6 linked regions of the Tribolium castaneum genome follow. The protein of the gene in region 3 purifies or fractionates together with the protein of the main gene of each other region. This does not show direct contact. Links are inferred from orthologs where the notes say so. Each region holds a gene or a part of one and is shown on either strand. Other genes may lie near its edges. The genes, in order: Rrp4, Rrp45, Mpp6, exosome complex component MTR3, Csl4 and exosome complex component RRP43.

What was found.
Region 1: the proteins of Mpp6 (region 3) and Rrp4 purify together in Homo sapiens (affinity purification with mass spectrometry; 8 studies listed by BioGRID and IntAct, with this or other methods). This does not show direct contact. The link is inferred for Tribolium castaneum from reciprocal best matches to the Homo sapiens genes MPHOSPH6 and EXOSC2.
Region 2: the proteins of Mpp6 (region 3) and Rrp45 purify together in Homo sapiens (affinity purification with mass spectrometry; 5 studies listed by BioGRID and IntAct, with this or other methods). This does not show direct contact. The link is inferred for Tribolium castaneum from reciprocal best matches to the Homo sapiens genes MPHOSPH6 and EXOSC9.
Region 4: the proteins of Mpp6 (region 3) and exosome complex component MTR3 purify together in Homo sapiens (affinity purification with mass spectrometry; 3 studies listed by BioGRID and IntAct, with this or other methods). This does not show direct contact. The link is inferred for Tribolium castaneum from reciprocal best matches to the Homo sapiens genes MPHOSPH6 and EXOSC6.
Region 5: the proteins of Mpp6 (region 3) and Csl4 purify together in Homo sapiens (affinity purification with mass spectrometry; 5 studies listed by BioGRID and IntAct, counting the BioPlex papers as one, with this or other methods). This does not show direct contact. The link is inferred for Tribolium castaneum from reciprocal best matches to the Homo sapiens genes MPHOSPH6 and EXOSC1.
Region 6: the proteins of Mpp6 (region 3) and exosome complex component RRP43 purify together in Homo sapiens (affinity purification with mass spectrometry; 4 studies listed by BioGRID and IntAct, counting the BioPlex papers as one, with this or other methods). This does not show direct contact. The link is inferred for Tribolium castaneum from reciprocal best matches to the Homo sapiens genes MPHOSPH6 and EXOSC8.

The regions. Positions count from the first base shown.
Region 1 is NC_087397.1:170,381-173,341, reverse strand, and holds Rrp4 (exosome complex component RRP4), read left to right. Parts: upstream 1-1,246; 5' UTR 1,247-1,327; coding exon 1,328-1,452; intron 1,453-1,503; coding exon 1,504-1,741; intron 1,742-1,802; coding exon 1,803-1,937; intron 1,938-1,991; coding exon 1,992-2,171; intron 2,172-2,224; coding exon 2,225-2,437; 3' UTR 2,438-2,461; downstream 2,462-2,961. Other genes in the region: Impbeta11 (importin-11), read right to left, coding at 1-458, 511-611, 659-796; uncharacterized protein tyn, read right to left, coding at 2,866-2,961. UniProt on the Homo sapiens protein: Non-catalytic component of the RNA exosome complex which has 3'->5' exoribonuclease activity and participates in a multitude of cellular RNA processing and degradation events.
Region 2 is NC_087402.1:3,056,456-3,059,875, reverse strand, and holds Rrp45 (uncharacterized protein Rrp45), read left to right. Parts: upstream 1-1,140; 5' UTR 1,141-1,287; coding exon 1,288-1,362; intron 1,363-1,410; coding exon 1,411-1,505; intron 1,506-1,547; coding exon 1,548-1,991; intron 1,992-2,206; coding exon 2,207-2,428; intron 2,429-2,471; coding exon 2,472-2,731; intron 2,732-2,776; coding exon 2,777-2,850; 3' UTR 2,851-2,920; downstream 2,921-3,420. Other genes in the region: RpL21 (large ribosomal subunit protein eL21), read right to left, coding at 386-865; histone deacetylase complex subunit SAP30 homolog, read right to left, coding at 2,923-3,051, 3,099-3,314, 3,363-3,420. UniProt on the Homo sapiens protein: Non-catalytic component of the RNA exosome complex which has 3'->5' exoribonuclease activity and participates in a multitude of cellular RNA processing and degradation events.
Region 3 is NC_087398.1:4,380,038-4,382,216, forward strand, and holds Mpp6 (M-phase phosphoprotein 6), read left to right. Parts: upstream 1-1,253; coding exon 1,254-1,679; downstream 1,680-2,179. Other genes in the region: Ptpa (serine/threonine-protein phosphatase 2A activator), read right to left, coding at 1-116, 239-581, 631-837, 886-974, 1,021-1,111. UniProt on the Homo sapiens protein: RNA-binding protein that associates with the RNA exosome complex. Involved in the 3'-processing of the 7S pre-RNA to the mature 5.8S rRNA and play a role in recruiting the RNA exosome complex to pre-rRNA; this function may include C1D.
Region 4 is NC_087396.1:13,656,015-13,658,785, reverse strand, and holds exosome complex component MTR3, read left to right. Parts: upstream 1-1,203; 5' UTR 1,204-1,343; coding exon 1,344-1,506; intron 1,507-1,560; coding exon 1,561-2,246; 3' UTR 2,247-2,271; downstream 2,272-2,771. Other genes in the region: X-ray repair cross-complementing protein 6, read right to left, coding at 1-902. UniProt on the Homo sapiens protein: Non-catalytic component of the RNA exosome complex which has 3'->5' exoribonuclease activity and participates in a multitude of cellular RNA processing and degradation events.
Region 5 is NC_087401.1:17,299,511-17,302,301, forward strand, and holds Csl4 (exosome complex component CSL4), read right to left. Parts: upstream 1,448-2,791; 5' UTR 1,361-1,447; intron 1,305-1,360; 5' UTR 1,148-1,304; coding exon 557-1,147; 3' UTR 501-556; downstream 1-500. Other genes in the region: protein HGH1 homolog, read left to right, coding at 1,654-1,741, 1,788-2,788. UniProt on the Homo sapiens protein: Non-catalytic component of the RNA exosome complex which has 3'->5' exoribonuclease activity and participates in a multitude of cellular RNA processing and degradation events.
Region 6 is NC_087402.1:7,982,347-7,985,341, forward strand, and holds exosome complex component RRP43, read left to right. Parts: upstream 1-1,291; 5' UTR 1,292-1,419; coding exon 1,420-1,436; intron 1,437-1,489; coding exon 1,490-1,664; intron 1,665-1,708; coding exon 1,709-2,003; intron 2,004-2,049; coding exon 2,050-2,170; intron 2,171-2,217; coding exon 2,218-2,425; 3' UTR 2,426-2,495; downstream 2,496-2,995. Other genes in the region: CycA (G2/mitotic-specific cyclin-A), read right to left, coding at 304-738, 794-940. UniProt on the Homo sapiens protein: Non-catalytic component of the RNA exosome complex which has 3'->5' exoribonuclease activity and participates in a multitude of cellular RNA processing and degradation events.

The sequences.
Region 1 (2,961 bases), on a different chromosome or scaffold from region 3:
TTTGATGCGGTTTATAAAAACCAAAAACAGTCAATTTGCGTAAAATCCTCAAAGTCAATAGTGCTTTTTCCAAATTTGTAAGAACTAGTTGCGAAGCTGCGCCTTTCATTACATCATTCATAAATTGTTCGGTGAAATTATTCCATAAATTCAACACAAACGAATAAATATTACTGGAAAACTCTTGGAAAAAACGGCGATCGCCTGTTAACCGTTTCGAAGCAATGGCTTTAACTACATGATGAAGAGTTAAAAATCCTCGATGTTGGACTAGAGAATCAGGACTTTCAATTACTTGTAGTAAAGTCGGAAATAATTCGGGCCACTCTTTCGGACAATCAATTCGTGCAATTTTCGAAATTAAAACCGCTCTTTGTACCGCAATCTGACTAACGGGTTCGTTAAAACTTAAAATTAAACCGTGTTTAATGTTTTGTTTTTCTGCCTCTAAAATAGCGCTAGAAATGGACATTAACTTTAGTTAGGTACATTACAACTTGCGTGACTTACTTTGGTGCGTTTTTTCTCCAATATCGTTCAATACCATTTTTTATATACAAAACTGCAATCCACCGTACGTTTATATCAAGCGAGTGGTTAGATAAAACATTCTGAAGAATGGTGTATTATTTAATTGTGTTTTTTGCCCAATACGTACAAATAAAACTGTGTAAAATCCAGGTTGAGTTTCCCATTCCCGTAATTTGGCTTCAGCCGGTTTTAACACTTCTGGATTTTGACTCGAGGCTCTTTGCAGAACTTCAATTACGATGTCTTGTGTTGATCCCGTATTCATTGTGAATTATAATCATTTCCCCCTTGAGAACCACAATTTATTATAATACACAACAATATACGAATTATTTTCAATAAATTTTAACTTGTGTGTAAGACAAATCGCAAAAGTGAGGTTAGAATAATTTAATTTTGATTTCCTAATACGCCTTACATTATGGTAATAACAAATTTAAAATTTTTTCATTTCAATGTGGAAAAGAAAATTTTGCCTCACCTGACCGGTATTATACAATTATTTTTTCTTAAATAAAATTATCAATTGTCAAAACACATATGACATGTTTCAAATGACATGCACGACTACCACAACAGTCATTAAAAATACCAAAAAACAAAAATTTCCTTTTAATAATTAAATTACACATAAAACCGACAAAATAGAAAATTAAAAACAAGTTTCAATAATAATTCAGATTGATAACAGAGAAGTCACAATTTTATATAGATTGCGTACTTGCGTATTGTTGCTTGCCTAACCCAGTAATTGTTGTTTCTAATCTCAAATGCGGTTCGAGTGTTTTGCAAGAACATGCCGCAAAAAATTCACATACGCCTTGCCGCTCATCGCATCAACCCCTCAATTGCTGTTAACCGTCGAGTTCCAAAGATATTTACTCCGGGACAAGTGATTACGGAGCAAAATGAATTTATGAGGTTAGGTTTGTCTCGTGTTTTTTTTTGAAATTTTGCGATTTTTCTAAATAGAGGGCATGGTACGTACGAAGAAGAGGGTTTTTTAAAATCATCAGTTGCTGGAGTTAAGGAACAAGTAAATAATTTGATTTCGATTCGTCCGTTAAAAAGTCGATATAATGGTGAAGTGGGTGATGTGGTGGTTGGACGAGTCACAGAAGTCCAACAAAAACGCTGGAAAGTTGATACGAATTCGCGTCTGGATTCGGTCTTGTTGTTGTCTTCCGTTAATTTACCAGGAGGGGAACTGGTACATAAAAGATTTTTTTGGTCGTTAATTTTGCAAGTAAGTTGGCAATATTAAATTTCAGCGGCGTAGATCAGCAGAAGACGAGCATATGATGAGACAATATCTTCAAGAGGGCGATCTTATAAGTGCCGAAGTACAGAGCGTTTATTCAGATGGTTCTTTATCTTTACATACTAGAAGTTTGAAATATGGAAAAGTTTGTCTCGTGTTTTTCGTTACGTTTTGATTATACGTTCATTTTTGATTGTAGCTTTCTCAAGGTATTTTAGTTAAAGTCTTTCCCTCGCTCATTAAAAGGAGCAAAACACATTTTCACAATTTCTATGTTGGGGCTAGTATTATTTTGGGCAATAATGGGTTTATTTGGATTTATCCAACTGTTTCAAATGCTGAGGATAACGCTGGTGGCTTTGTGCAAAATTTGGAACAAGTTGTGTCTCACAATAGTTTTGTTGTTTTTTTTTGCTACTGTGGTGTTTTTAGGTCGTTTCAAGGCCAGAAAGAGAAACAATTGGACGTCTTCGAAACTGTATTTTGGCGCTTATTCAAAGTAAAATGATGCTGTACGATACTAGCATTTTGTATGCTTTTGAAGAATCACAGAAATATTCAGTGGCTGAATTATTGATTCCTGAAGCTATGGTCGATGTAGCAATTTTGACTCAGGATAGGTTAAGCATGTTGGAAAATTCATAATAAATAGTTTTTTCTTATAAAAAATGTCTATTATTCGACTTGAGAACGTGTATAAAATAATCGATATAAATAATGTTAGCCTAGTCGAGATATATACAAAAAAGTAAATAAATAAAATAAATAAGTACACGAATTAGACTGTTTACCGTTACAAAATTTGCTCTAGGAACGAGAGTCAGTGCAAATTAGTTTTAATAAGAGATCAAGAAAGTATAACTTTTGCAACGGTAAAATAAAGCTTCCATCACCAAGGCCGCCACCTTCCCGAAAAAAAATCCTTAAAAAATACATATTGCATAATGTAGAGTCGGGGAATTCCCTATTTGATATCTCATCTCGAGTTAACGATATCACAGAACTAACAATGCTGCTCGTCAACTCAACCGAAAGATCAAACTTGATTAAAGCACCAAAGTGTCTCTAAATCTTCAAGCGATGTGTTTCCCGGGATTTAACCACTTCTTCATGTAGTAACAGAACAGCGTACTGATGTAAAGTAGAACTAATAAGGCACAAGTCACACC
Region 2 (3,420 bases), on a different chromosome or scaffold from region 3:
ATTGTGGTGGAACAGCATAGGAATAATTGACTGTATGGTGAATTTTACTTGTTTACTTAATTTGTTTTTTACAAACCTTATATTTATTCCAATTAGCAATAATTCTTAGGTGGTAACCAAACCGTGCATCTAATTTAGCGAGTATTATGTCCCCTACACGGTAAAAAAGTAAAATTCACTCTTCTTATTTTGTTAACAAATACTATACAACTTTTAAATATTATATGAGAAACTAGAACATACTGTATAAATGCTGCTAAGCAGATTTTATTTTTATTCTGTAAATATTCGTTAGATATAAATATATTTGAAAAAATGCACTGACTCGTTTCATTTCAAACACCCAAATTTGTTTTATGTCTTTATTACACAAAAGGCGTACAAATTAAGCAATAAATTCATATGGGATAGGAGCCAATTGAACGGCTGGTACTTTCCCACTGACGATGTGTGCAGGCCTTGGCTGTGCTGGCTGTCTCTTCAAATTCACTCGAATGTTCTTCTCCTTAGCTTCTTTTCGCAATTTTTCGTTTTGTTTCACTCTGGTCAAGAAGTCTTGCCTGCACTTGGAGTGATTCACGTGCTCAATACGGATATTGATACGTTTGGGGATAATACGGCCCCCAACACGCTTGTTAACAATCACACCCAAAGCGTGAGCCGTCACATTGAACACACGGCCAGTTTTCCCATGGTACACCTTGTAGGGCATGCCCTTCTGAACGGCTCCATTGCCCTTAATATCCACGATATCGCCGACTTTGTACACTTTCATGTACGTCGACAGGGGGATAACCCCATGCTTGCGGAACTTCCGAGAGAACAGGTCCCGGGTTCCCCTACGATAACCTTTCGAGTTCGTCATTTTTCAGACCTGCAAAAAGGGCACAAGTTATTATAAGACCAATATCTCAACACTGTAACGTTTATTTGTAGTTCAATTTTATCAAAATTATGAAATAAACATGATTTTTGTGCTTAACCTACCTGCCTTACAGAACACGTTTTAAAGAGGAAGAAAATGGCGGACGCAATTTCCGCTTGAGTCTTTTTCTAGCGACCTCTATCCTATTTTATAAATCGTAAATTATTTATTAAATTTGGTTTGTATTATCAAATTGATAATATAACAGGCATTTTGTGGTAAACACCGGTCCATTTGTTGTGCAAAAATGTGTAAAAAGCCACCAAGTGTATTGTTTAAAATATAGATTCCTGTATTGCCGATGTATTTTTTCTAACCACACTTCTTTGTTACAAAAAATATTTTGAAATTTGAAAATAAAAATGTCGAAAGTACGGGAAACACTTATTACAAACTGTGAACGAAAGTTTTTGATGAAATGCTTGTCGGAGTGGAGGGTAAAAGCGGCACATTTAATTTACAATTTAATTCCATCTTCCATTTAGAGGTTAGATGGTCGAAGTTTTGACGAGTTCAGGCCACTAGAGCTGAAATTTGGCAAACAGTGGGGTTCCTGTTACGTTTCTCTCGGCAACACAAAGTAACCTTCACTTATGAAACACTGACTTCAGTAAAGGAATAGAGTTTTAGCTCAAACATCATGCGAAATCCAACAACCCAAGTCTTCACGACCTAGTGAAGGAATTCTAAACATAAATATCGAGTTGAACCCACTGGCAGCCCCTCATTTCGAAGCGGGCAGACAGTCGGAATTGTCAGTGCAGTTGAACCGACTTTTGGAAAAATGTGTTAAAGATTCTAAAGCTGTTGATTTGGAATCATTGTGCATTAAAACCAACGAAAAAGTATGGGCTTTGAAGGTGGATATTAATGTTTTAAACCATGAGGGGAATATTCTGGACTGCGCCTCGATCGCCATGTTGGCTTCTTTGACTCATTTTAGGCGCCCCGATGTCACTTGTGATGGCGAAGAATTCATCATTCACAGTTACCAACAAAGGGACCCCATTCCTACGGTTATACACCACTATCCAGTCTGCATAACATACGCTATTTTTAATGGAGGGTAAAACACCTTTTGAAAATTTAATTGAAAGCTTGTATTATCATGTTATCCACAAAAAATACTTTAGCTGCACGAATTATCACTTAGAATTTTCAATTTGCGGACTTGCTTGTAGGAAATTTAATTCTCTACAACATTTTTTTGCGTGTATTCGCAGCGTTTATCCGTAAAAAATGAGCATTTTATTAAAAGGACTTGCAGTTTTTTTCTCTTAGGGAGTATATTCTTGCGGACCCGTCACTACTTGAGGAAGGTTCCGCAGATGCAATGCTAACAATAGGCCTCAACGGCTTTAAAGAACTGTGTGCCCTACATTTAGGGGGAAAAGCTGAACTTGCACCAAGTATTATCCTGAGTACAGTTTCTAAAGCCACATCTCGAGCTACTGTTGTGATAGAAGAAATAAAAAAATCAGTTAAGGCCGATACTGAACAAAGGTAAAACCAACAACATGTTGCCGAGTTATAAATTAAATTTCAGGCAAGAGAAGGCTTCGGTAGGCTTTCATACTGAAGATAATTTCAAAACAACTCTAGTCTTTGGCCAGAGCCTTGATACATGGCATACGAATAAAAAGAAAAGAAATAAAAAACATAAAAAAGCACAGCCACAATCCCAGAATACGGTCGTTATTGACAAAGGGTCAGTGGAACATGTGCCTCAGACCGAAAACAAGAAAGAAGTCTGGGACGTTGATAATAACAGTGACGATGACTTAATAATAGTCGAAAAACCTAAAGGTATTACTTAACTTAATTGAAACTAAAATCATGTTTTTTTTTCAGTTCAAATCGAACTCCTAACAGACAGTGAGGAAGACGATGTGGTGATACTAGGGCCTGTCAAAAATAAAAAATAACTTGTGGTTTTTTATTAAATGCATTTTTTTCTTAAAGTGTAATAATTTAATAAAACTTCTAAGGACCTAACTTCAAGTGGCGTCATTGTTCACACCGTTCTTTTGGTCAAGCTTATTGCTGTTTGTTTTGACTGTATAAATAAAAAATGTGACAACTTCCTTCTCCTTGACTTGGATCGACTTAAAGTGTTTCATTAGAGTCTGTGAATGTAATAATTAATACAAAACGTGGATTTTAACCGACTCACATCTGCCAGTTGTGCCTTGTTCAGTCCAGGTCTTGCGGAAACTTTGTAGTGCCTTTTGTACCTCCTCAAAGTGTTGACTCCTAGCTGAAACAGGTCGACTTCTGGCACGTCAGTGTCCGTCTCATTGCTGTCATCCTCCGAATCCTTCCTCCTCCTCTTGGTCCTTGCACACTGGATGATCATCTTGTGAAAGTCGCAGATGTAAATATGCTTCGCCTGGCAAAACAACAATAATTTTCCGATTGAACTTTGCGTTCGACTTACTGAATTATCAATACACAAATTTAACCTCCTTTGCGTCACTGTCTTCTGGATGCGCTTG
Region 3 (2,179 bases):
AGGGCCGCTTTTTACTGAGTTTATGTACTGGATGCAAGTGAGGAACATGAAGTCCTCTCCATACTGGTTTAAAATTTGCGGCACCAAAAAACCCGACGGTTCAATGATCGGATGGGCTAAACAAACATAGTGGAAAAAACTTGGATGGAAATTGCGTTAATCTTAATTTTTTTAACTTAAATTTGGCCCAAATTTTTCCGAAGCGTTTTGTAAACCGAGAGTTTTTTTGTTTACTTACCAAACAGCTGCGAGCTGCCCCAAATAAACGGCACAAACTGGTAGTCGTCCAGACTCCAAACGCCGTGACTTCCGGCGGGCTCCATCCGGTAGGTCTTTTGTAATTTCCGCGCCAAGTCCAAATACCGCGTAAAAATGGCACAGCCAGTGGCTGTCTTATCATGTTGTTTCAAAAACCCGATTTTATACAAACAGCACAGGAACATAATGAATGAAATTTCGTGCCCCGTCCCGTAGTCAATCCGTGTGGAATTCCCGAACGATTCCACCAAATATGAAACGATCTCGGGGACGGCGGCATTTAATTCAGTCGGGAGCACATCCTGGAGCAAGACAAGCGACTCCTGGAAAACGCCCGTCAGAATAGAAACAAACGCGAATTTGTGGACCCACATCTCGCAGTTTCTGGTACCAGGTCCTGAACGCCACGTTTCCGAACCTTTGGGGCTGTTGTACAGCGGGCGTTTCGTCGATTTTCGTGTCAAGCTTGTTCAACAACTCGATCACTTTCTGGACTTCCTCGGAGGCGTTTTCGCTCCCGCGCGAATTGCTTTTGCCTTTAACTGCCTCGTTTATGGCCAGAATGAACCCCAAAAATTCCTATGGAATGAGAGTGTTAGATGAGGTCACGCCTAGAGGGAATTGTACAAAATAGGCCTCGGATTTCTCCCAGATTTTCATATCAGCCGGTGTTTTGATCAGTTTTGTGGGGACTTCGAAGACGTGGTCGGACCCCACTGGAACAAGCCGGTGAAAAAGGGGGAAAGAACGATGGGGAAATACCTGTGGTGGCAACGGAGGCCGCCGAGCGGCCCCGCGGGGCCGCAGGCCCGATACCCACCGCGAAAGACTCGGACATAATTGTTCTATTCATTTTATTTGTTTAATAAACACAAATCATAACCTTTCAATGATAAAAATGGCACGTCAAAGTGACAACTGACAGTTCTTCTAACCTAACAAATTATATTTTTTTGAAAAGTGTTTTATACATTGTTTTTCACTGAGCCAAAAGTATGCAAGGGCCTAAACCAGTTCAATTGTCCAAGTCCATCCTGGACATGAAGTTTATGAAACGTACGAAGGAAAGGGTGCTCAAGGAGCAGGAAGATGCCGAGGGCAAAGCCATGTATTCCAATGAAATCACCGACGAAATGAAGAAAAGCGGGACCATTGTATTCACAGAAACGAGTATCTTTAACTGCCGAAATTTAATCGAAGGGCGCTTATCATTTGGTGGCATGAATCCGGAAATAGAGAAACTGATGTCTAACGATTACACTAGGAAGAAACAAGAGGTGGAAAAACGCAAAGAAACCGACGTTAGTGACGCCCAAATGGCTCAGGAATACTCCACTCTAGTTAACACAATGGCAAATAAATTCAGCGGGAAGAAAAACAGAAATAAGCGGAAGTTTATAAAGCCATCTGAAGACTTCTAGTTAACCTAGTTTCGTATTTTGATTACATTGTATAAACTTTTTTTTGAATAAATTGAAGCCTGATATCTTATTTGTGCCAATTTTGTATTTTTAGCTCGCAAATCACCCTTTTAACGGCTGGTTTTGAGCGTAATTATGCGTAAATTGCGACTCATAACAACGTTATCAGCCGATAATTTTGTGTTTACTTGGTTATCTGTTTCTGATTCATTAAAAAAATGCATAGACAAAGCAAGCACGTGCCAAAATTTGCACAAGCTTTCAAACTTCCCGCTTTAGCGCTTGCGCAGATCTGTCGTCCTTTCTTATCAAATCTGTGCTCGTGTTGAATTGGTGAGTCCAATAATCAATTTTTTCCCCAATAGTAAACAAATTTAAATATAAAGTCCACATTTTCCGAGTTCGCATTTGAGATTTTTATGCCGCGAAATCAGTACATAAACACTGACTGACGTAGTTTGAAATATCGCTGAGAGGTTATATAAGATTCTAATTTTAAT
Region 4 (2,771 bases), on a different chromosome or scaffold from region 3:
CGTTCACTAACACTGAACTCGAGTGAGCCTAACTCATAGTCAAGCTTGTAGGTTTCAATGGAGTCATTTACTGTTTTTGAAACCTTTTTCAAAAGTTTTCCACTTTCGGAAACGGAAGCGTTGTTGTAAAGTCGTTCCTCTTGGACAAACGACTTCTGCCTGATTTTAAGAAACCGTGTTTGGTCATTCGCAAAAGGGAAAAACAGCAACCTCCTTTGATAAAATCTCCTGACAACTGAGGAAGAAAGTTTCTCAAATAAACCATCTTCATCTTCCACAACTGTCTCAACGGGAGGGCTCTTAATGATTGAAAATAACTCATTGTAGAAAATTTTATAATCGAAGTTGGGCTTCATGGTCACCAACTCGAAAGTGATATCATTAGACTCGAAATTTTTTGCTTCGTTAAGTGCAGCAAATCTTTGGTTCTTGTCACCACGAACGGGGTTATCGTCGTTGGTTATGAAAATGATCGTTCTTTTGTAGAACACCGAATTGACTTCCTTGAACTTTTTTTTGCAAAAGAGGAAAAATGAACTCAAATTTAAGCCGCTTTTTCTTTCATACATATCCAACAATTTTTCCTGCGACAATTCATTCTTTTCTTTAAGCAATTTTATTGATTGTAAGATGTTATCGTTGAAATTGACAAGCGACGCTGAAGCATCTTCACGTGCCAATACCACACCAAAAGGGCTCCAGCTTCGCTTATTTTGGACAAATATTAGCGAATTTGCCAGATTATAACAGGCAGAAATGCAATCCTTAAACGGGGTATTGCCATCGCTTTCGTTTTTAACAAACATCGAAGGGTCGGTATCGATTGCAATGAGGACGAAAGATGGTTTGTAAAACGTGTTAGAACTTGCAGATTCGTCTCCTACGTCTTCGTTATCTGACATCTGAAAAGAATAAGTTCATAAAACATCTTTATTTATAAACGTATTATCAATAGGTAGTAACATTTCTCACCTTGATTAATTAATTAACAGTAAACAATCAAAAAGAACAACAGCAACAAGTTTACACAAAGTTGCGCCAAATTTGACGTTTTGTTGACAATCCCCTTGAAAGCGAACCACCAGAAAACATAAATCCAAAAATGCGAATAAATAAGTCTAACATTTACTCTAACTATATGTTGCTGTACAACGGCACAAATTAATACGCGCCTAACGTAGTTTTTATGAAAAAGAATTAAATTAATTGTGTTTTCTATTATTCGACTTTGTGAGACTTGTAAACCTTGAACTTGGAATGGTTGACAATTAGCTATATAACCTTACTTTTTTCTAACATAACCTTGAACTGAGAGATTTAAAATATAATTTGCAAAATACACTATGCCCGTGGATCACAAAAGAATCAACGGTCCGGAAATTTCAATTCCGTACCAACTATTCGACAAATTAAATACAAAATCGTTGAAAACCCAATTCAGTGAAATAGTGCAGCCGAATGGGACACGAGCCGATGGCAGGACATCAACCGAACATCGAAAAATATGTAATTTGTCTTTAGGCCCTTGCGTGTTCCTTGATCTAATTTTTAATTTTCTAGTCTTGAAAACTGGGGTTGTTAGCCAGGCCAAAGGCTCAGCGTACATTGAATTAGACCAAACCAAAGTAATCGTGTCTGTATTCGACCCCCGCGAGATACCCAACAAAACTGACTACAGTTCCAAGGGCGAAATCTACTGCGAGTTTAAATTTGCACCCTTCAGCTGCCACAAACGTAGGTTGCACCAGCAAGACGCTGAGGAACAACAGTTCAGTGCTATTATGAAACAAGCGTTGGAATCGGCAGTATTCAGGCACGAGTTTCCGAATTTTCAAGTCGATATTTACGCAATGGTGCTGCACAATGATGGGGCTGCTCTAAGTGCGGCTATCACGGCAGCTGGGGTCGCCTTAGCACATGCTGGGATTCCAATGTATGATTTAATAACGTCAGTGACTTTAGCTGTGCAAGGGAATCATCTTTTGGTCGATCCAACTTTAGAAGAAGAACGTTTATGTCAAGTTCCTCTGTTTAAAGAAGAGGAAAACAATCACGGGATTGTTGTGCTGTCGGTTTTAGCGACACATGAGCAAATTTCACAATTTTATCAGAGTGGATATTTGTCGTACGCTTGCTTGAGTTCAGGCATTGAGATGCTTACTAATGCTGCTAAGGACATCGTTACTTTAGTTAAGAAATGTCTTGTGAAACATGTTATTAAGAGTGTAAGAATTGTTGAAGATTAAAGAAATAAATTATATTTTATTTAAATATTTTTTTCACTGTCAAGTAAGGCACTAAAGTTGAATTTTTATTACAAATATGGAGTTAAAAAAACAAAAAAAAATTCGCGAAGTATGAGAACTTTGGGATGTTATGCAACCAATAATACAGACTTTAGTAATTCAGTCTTTTTTAAACACTTTCAACACGATATAATTTATACTGAGAAGTACTTCTTGACATACACTTCAAAGTAGTATTGGAAGAATTTAAGATTTTGCTCAAACAATAAACGAATAAAAAATAATACCTTTTTAATTTTTTTCTTGGTCTCCGTGGTGGTCAAATTCAGAAATTAAACCGTTGAAAGTATAGAAATATGATGTCCTAGACTTTTTGAAAAAAAATTACTTCTTTACAATTTTTTGTATCTTCAACCATATTCGCAGCATTCGCAAAAATATAAAATGGAACGTAAATTGAGCGTTAATTCTTTGCGCACTGTCCCATATTTATCAAAATGCTGGGAATACGGTTGAAGATGCAAA
Region 5 (2,791 bases), on a different chromosome or scaffold from region 3:
GACTATTGAAAATTACAATTTCAACCAGACCGTCGCTTAGACTACATCAAGTTGCATCTTTTCTCTCATAGAACAAAATTGCGCCCAACGCTTAGTTTCCGAGATATTTAAAGAATTAGGTTCAAATTCAAATTTTCGCGCCTGCGTTTATTTTTAAGTTTTTTGAGCACGTTTTTCAGGAAGCAGCGTGATTTTTTAAGTTTTTCAATTTTTATCGAATTACGGCTAAACTATTCGAAAAAGTGGAACTATTTTGATCCTTACCTATGCAAAATGATCCGGGAAATCGATTGACATCGAGAAAATCGCCAAATTCCCGATAGTTTTTTAGTTATGATTTTTTTAATGTTTCCAATTTTTGCTTTTGCTTGCAATTTTCTCGAAAACTATTAGTCGGAGAACAATAATCATTTTTGAAAAAAATAGATAATCCAAAGAGCTTTCCAACGATTATAAACTTTATAGGGTTATCTCTAATAGTTCAATTAACTTTTTTGCACTTTTAAGGGACGCAAAAGGGTTTATTAAAATAAACAAAAATACAATTTATTGAACATTATTTCACATCATTTTGCACGCTTTCTGGCACAACTCTTGCAACCTTCCTGGCCTCCTTCACAAACGTCTTGGAGCACTGCATCTCCGTCCAGCTCACAGGCACCATAAGCCCCCCATGTTCCGAGTGCGCCGTCACGACCCCCAGCTCATTCTCAGCCGTGGACAACTGATAAGTGTGAGCTTCCGTGATCGGCAAAACCCTCGCCAGAATCACGTCCCCGGGCCTGAAACTCTTGTAAATCTCCACGCGGTCCTTCTCCGTCGCTCGCACGTCCTCCTTCCGCAAAATCCCGCGATACTGCCGCCCCAAAACCTTATCCCCGACACACTTAATGTAGCATTTGCAAAACTGCTGCGTGATTGTGTGAATTTGCGCTGTGACGATGTCGCCCTGTGACGGCACGAGCGTTTCCTGCCCGGAACTGCGCACTTCAATGATCTGGACGTTGTCTTTGGGGACAATGTCCACAACACCGGCAAGGGTGGCGTAGATGTAGCCCCCACGCTCGTACGTGCCTTGACCGGACACGTGCGAGGGGTCCGACAGGCACAGCCGCTGCCCCGGGAGGCACACAAGGGGCGATGACATGCCCAAAATCAACAAAAAACGAAATTTTTGATTTTTTTTGAGGTTAAGTCAAATGTCAATTGACATGAAGAAATTTCAAAAACTGCGTGTTCCTTTTACTGTCAATATTATTATCACGGCAGACGACGTTCAAAGCCAATCAAAGGCACACAAGGAGCTATAACATGCGAAAAATCAGCACAAAAACGAAATTTTTGATTTTTTTGAGGTTACGTCAAGTGTCACTGTCAATTGTCAAAAAACGAATTTGCAAAATTTTACTTTCTCATTCATTAATTAACATTAATTACCAATTACGACCATTAATTTGGCTACAGAATTAAATAAACTGGTTTATGTTATGTTTATTTAACTACTCATTACACCCTGTATATACATACAACGTAGAGATAAACCTAAAAAAATAATGCCTTACTTATTAGAATGATTTTTTGCCACCTAACCCCACTTTTTTGACAGCTGTCACCCCTCGTGTTTTGTTTTTTTTTGGGGGCTTTAGCCTGATAATGGGTGATTCCGTGGCCGAATTGTTGCAGTTTGTGCATCTGGGGGCCCGTTTGGACCTCAAATCGGTGGCTTTGGGGCACATTTTGGGTAATAGGGTTCGAGGTTAGACTTGTTTTTTGTAATTTTTTTGTAGGTTTGACGGGGAATGCGGACGGAATTGCCACATTAATCAACACACCGTCACTTCTGGTCTCCTTAATCACACTTTTGAGTGATAATAACGCCACAATTGTCAAAGACTCGGCACTTTGCCTTGTTAATGTCTCTGCTGATCACAAGGGGGCCCTGGCATTGCTTGATTTGGACACGAGTGTGGGGTGCCCCCCTTTACAGAGCCCCCCGAGTGACATTACTTCGACTGTTGTTAAATTCGTGACGGACCCCATGAGTAAAATCGCCGATTTTTCCTGCATGATTTTATCGAACTTATCTCGGGCCAATCACGATAAAGTGATTGATGCGCTTGAGAAAAGCGCAAGTTTGGACGATTTGATTGACATTTTCACGAAAAAACAGTACAATAAAGCGGGGGCTAACCTCCACTACTTGAGCCCCCTTTTTTCGAACTTGTCGCAAAGTGGGCGCGTCCGGAGACGCTTCCTGGACCGGATCCACAAACTCGTGCCTTTCATTGAATTCGAGGAGTCGGCCGTGAGGCGCGGGGGCGTCGTGGGGGCCCTGCGTAACTGCACATTTGACCCCGAGTGTCATGAGCTGCTCTTGGGCCCCCATGTCGATATCTTGCCCCGGCTGCTCCGCCCCCTGGCCGGAAACGAGGAATTTGACGACGAAGACAACGACAAGCTCCCCCTTGAACTGCAATATCTCCCGGAGGAGAAACAGCGTGAAGAAGATCCAGATATCAGGTGCATGTTACTGGAGGCTTTGACCCAGTTATGTGCCAAGAGAAAAAATCGAGAATTTATCAGAGAGAGAAACACTTATGTGATTTTGCGCGAGTTGCACAAGTGGGAAAAGGACAGAAAGGTGCTTTTAGCGTGTGAAAATTTGGTCGATATTTTGATACGCACCGAGGAGGAAATTGGAGAAGATGATTTGAAGACACTTAAAGTGCCCCAAAGTTTAAGCGAAGACTTCAATAAAGCGGATGAGCAGTTTTTAAAAGATGAATAAATT
Region 6 (2,995 bases), on a different chromosome or scaffold from region 3:
GACGCTTTTGGCACATCTAAAGGCTCTAGAGAAAAGTCCACAAAAGATAGTTTTCAAGTTATAGGTAAAAATCGTAAATTGAAGTGTTCTCATGTTTTTAACATATCACAACGTAGAGTATGGAATATAATATACGAAATTAAAGCCATAATGAAATTTCCCGCCCCGAAAGTATTTCAAAAAAAGTCAAAGTTGTTAATAAAAAGGGCTTCAATCTGTTTTTTTTTTTTTAATTGAGAATAAATGTCAATGGATGTAAAAAAACTTGGAATAATTTTCTCGTCGTTCTTGAAGATACTTTACCTCATGTTCTTTGAGATAAGCAAAAATGCTATCCCTATACTCCTCCATTTCAAAAAAGACATCTCTAGCATTGGTATTTGTGGAAACCGTTTGCTCTTTGAGCTCAATGTTCTCCACATCTGATTTCTCAATGCTCATCGGAATCTCCGATTTTCTCTTAAGTTGAGGCGCAGTAATTTCCTTCAATTTCTCCAAATTCTTTTTCCTTTCAATTTCGGCAAGTTCTGTCTTCGTGATAAACCTGTCCTCGGCCGTCCCTTTATACACATTACTCTTACTGATAAGTTTGAGCCTTTCATCGATTCTCGCTCTGTATTCATCATCCTCATACACAGTAAACGCCTCAAACTGGGCCACCGGAACCACGACATTCTTCTTATTCTCGTTTTTTTGCCCATTTTCCACCCGGTTTCCCAAAACGGTTGGCTTCTTCGTCTGGCAAAAAAGCAAACGTTTTTCCCATCCAAAGTTACCTCCAACTGTTAATTACCTGTTTTCCTTTAAGGGCTGCGTTATTAACTTTATTACTGTCAATCTCGCCCAGAACGCCCCGTTTTTGCTGGGCAGTCGTTCCCGGTTTTCGGCGCAATTCCGGCACCCGGTTTTCCTGGTCCTGGTGAATTCTTATCGATGCCATTCCTCTAACACACGTGCAAGTTTCTAATACCCGAAAAACGAAAAGTTTGCTGAACCGAAGGCCAAACTGAACCCCAACTTAAACACCCAAGCTACCCCTAACCGACAAAACGACTGTTTTTAACGGCCAGATGCAAAGAGCGCAGAGTGCGGGAAACGAACAGCTGAGAGACCGTTGAAATGACAAACGGGACCAATGGGAGCCCAGATTTAAGCAACGTCACACGAGTGGGGATAACATGTTTTGAAGGGTTTAACGGAATTTTGCACTAAATCAAAAATCAATCGACAATACTTGTTCCCAACCAAATGCCCTATTTGCAAGCAAATGTCTTCATTACAAAAATTGCATTATTCAACCGAATTTACTCGTTTCAAATCAAACGTTTCCCCCACCGTTGTCGGCAACCAATCAAAACTAACGTCATTAATAATGTCAATTGTCAAAAACGAAAAACGTGGTTATAAACAAATTCAATAATGTCAGAACAATACAAGTAATAATTGTAGTACTGTGAATAAATAACAAGGTGATTATCCTATGTTTTAGGATTTTGCACCCCGTCAAGTACTTCCGCGACCACTTGGCCCACAAAATCCGACCTGATGGGCGCGAATTTGGGGAATATCGCCCCATCGTGGTCAATTTGGGCTCAATTTCGACAGCCGATGGGTCTGCGATTGCCAAAGTTGGTCGCACGACGGTAGTTTGCGGCATTAAAGCGGTGAGTGTAATTGGAGGCATTCAATTTGCTAAACCAAACCTTAGGAGTTGTGTCAGCCCAAGGCTGAGGCTGCAAACGAGGGGTTTTTGATCCCCAATGTGGAATTACCACCGTTGTGTTCGTCAAAATTTCGGCCAGGACCCCCAACTGAACAAGCCCAAGTAGCGACCCAGTTAGTTGCCGATATTTTAAAAAACTCTGATTGTTTAGACTTAAAAACGTTATGTATATTTCCAGACAAATTAGCTTGGTGTTTATATGCTGATTTAATTTGTTTGGATTTGGATGGGGCGTTGATAGACGCGTGTGTTGTTGCGTTAATGGCAGCGCTTAAGTCAGGTAAAGACAATATTGTTTTTTTGTGAAAAATATAATTGCGCTTCAGTTACTTTGCCAGCGGTTCAGTACGATCCAGCCCTTGACAACAAGCAAGTGAATGTGCAAGAGAGGAAAGCTCTTAGTGTTACCAACACTCCAATAGCAACAACGTTTGCAATGTTTGATGAGTAAGCTTATCATTGTTGTTGTAAACTTTTTAATTTTTTGATTGTAGTAAAATTCTCATAGACCCAACAGTGGATGAGGAGGACTTAAGTACGTCTTTGGTGACAATTGTGGTGAAGGAAGAAGAGTTGTGTTTTGTTCACAAGCCAGGTGGCTGTGTTTTTACGGAAGAGCAACTTTTAAAGTGTGTGGAAGAAAGTACAAAACGTGCAACTGTGATTGAGGAAATTATAGAAACAGCTTTTAAAAGTTTATAATAAAAACATTTTTTTTTATAAATGTATATCCTATATTATTTAAATAAAAATTTTAACAGGTTCCACAGTAGGTTGTGTGATCATTTAACCGAATTTAAAATTAAATCACCACACATTTATAAAAAAATCTATTGTCTTTGTTACAGGATTGAAAAAATAAAAATCGGGAAAAATCAACACTTTACATTTTAACGAGTATACATATTGGTATTGCCAAATATTCAACACGTGTCTGAATTTATGTACAAAAAATACGAAACATTGCAAATAATATACATTATTACAAAATACTACAACTCACCACATAATCACATATGATACAAATGTAGAGACTAAGGATGTTAGATATTTTTACAAAGTATTTTACACATTTCGTTCAAAAGGGAAATAAGTCTACTGTATGTACAGTTAAAAGTTTGCGCCTAGGACAGGAATGGTAGTAGAAAAATACCAGGAACAATAAATAATAGGGGTTTTAATAAAAATTTGTATATTTTAACAATGTGTAATTTTACATCGTTGATGTTTTATAAAGTATAACATTTTGTCCTCGTTTATGCCTGATATCTT